Linked DNA regions of Kluyveromyces lactis. The protein of the gene in region 2 purifies or fractionates together with the protein of the main gene of each other region. This does not show direct contact. Links are inferred from orthologs where the notes say so. Each region holds a gene or a part of one and is shown on either strand. Other genes may lie near its edges. The genes, in order: SSL1 and KIN28.

Region 1 (3,616 bases), about 470 kb from region 2:
GATAGTGGAAATGTCACAGCAATGGATATCCAAAGTTGTATAGTATCAATGTAATTGTGATTGTGATAATTTCGAGTTGGTATGAACTCTTTCAGGAAGGATGTCAAATATCAAAATAAATAAAATAATGCAACAATCTCTGCTGTATATTCAACCACTTAACAGAAATGTTTAATTGTGAAGAGGATGAGTCCGATTTAATTAGTGAAATCAGTTAAACCGGATTGACAGCAGACTAAAGTGATTGGAAAAATCAACAGTAAGAAGCCAATGCAAATGTAAAGAGACGTACGGTTGAACTCCCTGTGAATCTCAAGTTTGAAAGAACCTACCTGTCCTAGAGATATAGCACAAACTTGATGGTAACAGGAAGTTTATTCAGTACAGTATTTTTTTTTTGTGAGGTCGTTGAAAAATCGGTTGGTATCTTGTTGCCTTTTCTATTCGAGGTTTCATTTTGCAATTTCTCCGATGAGCTGAAAAATTTTGAAAATAATCGTTACTTTTTATTTTGTCACAATCTGAGATGCACTAAACAAGCAGATAATGATTAGGAGATGAGATTTATACAATTGTAGGGAAAGCGGTATCCAGCCAACCCAGGGGGAGTACATTGTAAATAGATGTAAAGGATGTGAGTGCCTTTTTTTTAGTAACCATTCAATGTTATATACAATTTGAGTCAATGTTTAAAAGTCGTTCTTGTGATATTTTCTTCTTGGAACTACCGAGAAAATGATTAGCGGGTTAAATTCATTTGATATTTACATTGATTGGTTTGGACTCACACCCAGGGCAGTTGTGTAACGTTTCATGAATGAATACATCACAATCTATACAAAAATCTTGATCACACTCTTCACATCTGTACCTGCTGCTTGTTAATAGTTCGCCTGTTTTGTTATTTCTTAAGGTGGGGAATCGCTTTTGGCAGCCGAAGCAATAGTCTGTAGGGAAGCTATCTGACACTGGGACTTCTTGGAAAGTCTTAAGAGGCATCAAATGATGATACGATCTTGCTAAATGTGTTGAGAGTATCAACATCAAATCACAACTCGGACATACTGTCGGTAGAGAGCAAACCTTAGTTTTGCAATTGGGACAGACGTAACCACCATGGACTAGAGTCGAATGGCAAGCACAAAATGATGGTGTGTCCTCAAATACTCTGGTAGGGAATCCCATCTTAACCAAGGTGAACCCTTTGTTCACTTTGCTCACCGGTAACGGTGTCACTGCACTTGTGAATAGTTCCTTAAAATGATGATCGTTCAATATAATCCCATAATATGAGTTATCTCCATAATTCGTCTGCTTACACAACTCTTTGCAAACGGAGACTTGAGCAGATAGACCAATAACTTTTGCTCTAATATTCTCATGTACCAATGAGCCAATCGTTTGATGAATATCACCTGGATCTGTAGTTGATAATGCACCGAAAACGATGAGTACTTCTCTAGTACAATGCGCTGGAACATGAAGTAAGAGACCTCTAGCCATCTCTAAAGCATTTTGTAAAGAAGCGTTCCCCTTTGGTTCTTGCCTACGAAGCATCTTTAAAGCATCGATATGTTCTTGAGGGTTACCACTGACCTGCGATATTAGCTGAGCTAAACCATCACGCATAACAACTACACCAATTTGAGAAATAGGATTTTGATCAAAATACTCATGAATAAAGTCTACAGCATATTGTACTGTCATTGCATATCTATTAGGTCGCAAATCTTTTTCCATCATTGCTTCGCTACAATCCAATACCAAGATAAGGGTTCTGATAATACCTCTTTGATACGGAGTAACCGTCTTCTCTGCTGCCCTTTTTTTTCTTGCTTCAACTATGCTTGCCACAATAGCAGCGATATTGCCTTCATCATCAACTTTGACAAGGTCCCAACTTCTTTGAATGTCATCTTCCCAGGCATAACCACCATTGACACCTTGTAAGTTCTTGTTGGACAGCTTCTTCTTCTTTTTCTTCTTCATTTTTCTTGGATCACGACTTCTCTTTGATAGTTGTGAATGAACTCGTTCATCCTCTTCATCATCACTAGAATTCCCATTGCCTGCACCATCCGAATCTGCAGTTTCTTTTGTTCTAACATGCTTCTTCACTTTGTTTTTCAGCACTTTGGTCTGACCATCTTGTCTATGTCTCTTGTTAGTGATTCCAATGATCCGTTCATCGTCTGATTCACTATCTATAATAGGAGGCATTATCGTAATCAAAAACGATTAATAAAATTTGACCAGAGTACAGCCAAATGTAGTCCAATTAAAAAATCGACTAATGCCTGGAGCTCTACGTCTATTCAGCCAAATTGGTGTAGCGTTACTCTTTAACCTTCAAATCTTGCTTCACTTGTTATAAATTCACTAAATTTTCTTACATGATTTTGATCATGTGATCATATGATCAAAAAGTTTCAACACAAAATAGCGAGGGTTGTATGTAAAACCTAATAATCACTGATTTTATTTAACGAACTACACCATTATACTTGAATCTTAAACGCTGAATTCTTGTGGTGGACACTCTTTATCTGAATCCCAGTCCAATGGTTTTTCACTCATGTAGTATTCGATGGTACCACCGTGTTCGAATAGCTCGGAATGTCTAAACCAGTTCTTATCGAGTTCTTTGTCATTGATAACAACTTTCTCAATGAAGTTGTTTCTGACACCAAATTCTGAATATAAGTTATGTGCAAAAATTTCAATATCTGGAACGTTAGGCATGCTTTTAAGTTTCAAATAATTAACTTTCGGACTTGTTAATAAATAAATATCAGTACCAGCCACGGGATAAAAACCTAGAAGGGCAAAGGTTAGCCACGCTTGCATGGCTCCTGCATCAGAATTCCCTGGCAAACCACGCGGTCCCGTCTTAAACTTTGTATTTATGATCCAATCCACTAATGCTGACGTTTTATCTTGTCTGTTAATGTACGCGTAAAGATAAGGTGTCAAAAAACTTGGTTCATTGCCAATATCAACCACGTTCTCATGGCCACAGAACGCATACATATCATCTAAACGTTTTTCAAACATTGCTTTCGAACCAATGTATTCTAATAAAGTCTTCATATCAAAAGGCACCGTCCACCCATATTCCACGGGTTTTCCTTCATATTCATCGTCTCTCCAATAGCAACCAAAGCATGTAAACGGATCATATCTATGTTGAGCAAACGTACCGTCAGAATTCCTAGGTTGTACGAATCCGGTGTAGTCATAGTGTATATTCACACTTTTAGCATTTGGGTTCCAAATGTTACGCCAGTTTTTCGATCTTTCAAGGTATGTCTTTGCTAAATCTTTTTTACCGAGACCTTTGGCAACGATATAAAGGGCAAAATCGTTATACGAATACTCCATAGTTCTGGTGACACTTCTTGAGTAATTTCTTGTTATGTACCCCAATTCAAGCCATTCTTTTAAAGCGCCTCTCCCAAATTTGTTTGTCGAGTCGTTAGCCATAGGGTCCTCAATGTAAGGCGGCTCCACTTCTGCATTGGTATACATAGCTTGGAAGCCCTTCTCCCAATCGATCCCTTGATGAACGTTCTTAATGAAAGCATCCGCCAACATGATATCTGAGTTGCTACCCCCT
Region 2 (3,144 bases):
CACTTGTATCTCCAACCACGGGTATCATCGACTCACATTCTTTGATAGAATACCTCTCTGCTATGGTTGATAACCAGGGGGGTGATACTGTGATTGGATCTGAAGTTAAGGATATTCAATTTTTAGGATCTAGCTACGCTCTCCAATGCGTGGAAACGCTGAATGGTACTGCAGAAGAAGTCGAGATTCGTGTAGAAAATGTTATCAACGCTGCTGGATTATATGCAGACAAGATTGCTAATATGATCTTACCACCTGAACGTCAGGTAAAGCAATATTATGCCAAGGGCAATTATTTCACTTCGAAGACTCAAGTTCCAGCTGTGAGAAGATTGATCTATCCTGTGCCTCCCAGAAATGGCAAATCATTGGGAACTCATTTGACCATTGATTTAAATCATCAAGTGAGATTCGGTCCTGATCTTGAATATGTTGACTCTGCGGATGATCTGATCCCAAACCCGCTGAATATTGAAGACGCTGCCAAAACCATCACAAGATATTTCCCTCATCTGCAACCAGGTGAATTAGAGGCTTCATACTGCGGTATCAGGCCTAAATTAGCAGCACCAGGTGACACAGAATTCAAAGATTTCTATATTAAAGAAGAAGAAGGATTCCCGGGGTTTGTTAACCTGCTAGGTATCGAATCTCCAGGTTTAACGTCAAGTATCCCAATCGGGAGATACGTGAAGAAGATACTTCACGGTTAGGAATAACAGATAACATGCAATAATGAACTTTTTTTTCGTACATATCCTCGTATTCTATTCAAAATATATCTAGGTATTTTCATTTATTGAGCTTAGGAAGATCTTGTGGAAGTGTAGGCTCCGGCAATTCCTGGAAATATTGACTTTGTAGACACTTGACTGCATCCCATCTCTTTTTAGGGTTCATTATCATCATCCCACTTATCAGTTCAAGTGCATTTTCCGTAGCCGCTATGAATCTTCTTCTCAATTCCTCTCTCGATGGAGGTGGATATATTTGAATCTTATTATAATTGCTAAAACTAGAAACTTCAGGCCAATCCGCATCAGTAGGAGTTCCTAACGCACGGAATGTTACGTTTATCTGATCAACATCATCTTTCCCCGGCAAATAAGGAATTCTCAACATTAATTCTGCGAATATAACACCGACAGACCAGATATCGACCGCAGAGGTGTAGTGTTTTGCACCAAATAAGAGCTCCGGTGCTCTGTACCATCTGGTAACAACGTTACTGGTCAAAATCTCCTGTGGTGACGCCATTAGTCTGGCTAGACCAAAATCTGCGATTTTCAATTGACCATCAGGTGCTAATAGTAAATTATTTGGCTTCAAATCTCTATGAAGTATGAAGTTTCTATGACAATGGTGTACACCTCTCAAAGTCATTAGAATCCAGGACTTAATATCTGCTGGACTGAACATAATAGAAGTGTCCTTAATAATGATCTCCAAGTCGGCAGGTAGAAACTCCAACACTAAATTCAAATTATCGTTTGCCATGAAAACGTCTACTAATTCAATAACATTCACATGCTTCAACTCTTGTAGAAACTTCACTTCACGTAATGCTGACATGTCAAGTCCATCTTTGAACTGTGAGGTCTTGATCTCCTTCACCGCAATACTCCTTCCAGTGGACTTCTTAGTTCCCAAATAAACCACGGCATACGTACCTTCACCAGCCTTTTTCTCCTTAGTATAGTCATCAACAGTAGATTTTAGGGTCATGGTTTATAACTTCGAGCTCTACCGTATGACAGAATCAGTTCCCAGATCCAACGATGACTTTAAACATCAAATGTCTATCTGCATGTTGGCAGAAGCTTGGACCTTTCTATATTAAATATGAAAAATCTTTGAAAGTTTGATACATATTATGCTATGTAAAGGAAGAAGTGTATGGTGAATCAAAACGAAGTACCATCGGATCTTCAGAGTTAAAAACTACATTCGATTGGGGAAATGATCTCAAAATTGTTTGGAAGAGGAAAGTTCTTTCGAAACGTGGCTCTTCAAGTCAGATTTAACAGTTCTGAAGCCGTCGAATTTCGACCATTGCACTCATCGCTAATATCAAGAGCAGAGCTGTATGTCAATGAATTGCGAGAGTTAGAGGACCTGTTGTCGCAGGGTGGATCCTTCGATCTTGAGAAACAGAAGAATTTTGCCAAACTATCTACGATTGTGGATTCGTATTCCAAATACAGAGAAGAAGTCAATCAGTATAAAGAACTACAGGAGATACTGGAATTAGATCCATCATTACGAGAAGAAGCCGAAGCAGACATAGCAGCACTACTCCCAGATTTGAACAAGACAGGGGACTCTTTATTGAATAAACTCCTACCGCCTCATCCTTTTGCAGATAAACCCAGTATATTAGAACTAAGGCCTGGTGTCGGTGGTTCTGAAGCTATGATATTCACTCAAGATCTGTTGAACATGTACATTAACTATGCAAATTATCATAAATGGAAATGGAACCTAATATCAAAAACTGAGAACGCAAGCGGTAGCGGAGTCCTGGAAGCAATCTTGAATATAGATGAACCAGGTTCTTATGATAAATTGAAATTCGAAGCCGGAGTTCATCGTGTTCAAAGAGTGCCTGCCACAGAATCAAAGGGAAGAACTCATACTTCCACTGCGGCCGTCATTGTGCTACCCAAAATGGGTGAAGAAAGTGAATCTGATGCATACGAGAGGACTTTCAAGCCAGATGAGATTCGTATCGATGTCATGAGAGCCAGTGGTAAAGGTGGGCAGCATGTCAACACTACAGATTCTGCTGTCAGGTTGACACATTATCCATCAGGCATTGTGATTTCAATGCAGGAAGAAAGGTCTCAACACAGAAACAAAGCCAAAGCCTTTGCTATCCTACGAGCAAGGTTGGCCGAAAAGGAAAGGCTTGAGAAAGAGGAGAAAGAGAGGAATGCAAGGAAAGATCAAGTTTCCACGACAGACAGATCTGACAAGATCAGAACTTATAATTACCCACAGAATAGAATCACGGACCATAGATGTGGCTTCACACTATATGATATCGAGGGGGTCATGAAGGGTGAGAGGCTAGATGATGTAATTGATGCTATGGACGCGTTTAGTTCTGAGCAGAAGGCTAAGCAATTACTTCAGGACATGTCA

Evidence for each region.
Region 1: the proteins of KIN28 (region 2) and SSL1 purify together in Saccharomyces cerevisiae (affinity purification with mass spectrometry; 3 studies listed by BioGRID, with this or other methods). This does not show direct contact. The link is inferred for Kluyveromyces lactis from reciprocal best matches to the Saccharomyces cerevisiae genes KIN28 and SSL1.

Annotation. Positions count from the first base shown.
Region 1 is NC_006041.1:850,191-853,806, reverse strand, and holds SSL1 (TFIIH/NER complex subunit SSL1), read right to left. Parts: upstream 2,221-3,616; coding exon 754-2,220; downstream 1-753. Other genes in the region: KLLA0_E09593g (uncharacterized protein), read right to left, coding at 2,512-3,616. UniProt on the Saccharomyces cerevisiae protein: Component of the general transcription and DNA repair factor IIH (TFIIH) core complex, which is involved in general and transcription-coupled nucleotide excision repair (NER) of damaged DNA and, when complexed to TFIIK, in RNA transcription by RNA polymerase II.
Region 2 is NC_006041.1:1,322,951-1,326,094, forward strand, and holds KIN28 (TFIIH complex serine/threonine-protein kinase subunit KIN28), read right to left. Parts: upstream 1,726-3,144; coding exon 793-1,725; downstream 1-792. Other genes in the region: KLLA0_E14763g (NAD(P)/FAD-dependent oxidoreductase), read left to right, coding at 1-713; MRF1 (Mrf1p), read left to right, coding at 1,960-3,144. UniProt on the Saccharomyces cerevisiae protein: Catalytic component of the TFIIK complex (KIN28-CCL1 dimer) which is the protein kinase component of transcription factor IIH (TFIIH) and phosphorylates the C-terminal domain of RNA polymerase II during transition from transcription to elongation after preinitiation complex (PIC) formation, thereby positively regulating transcription.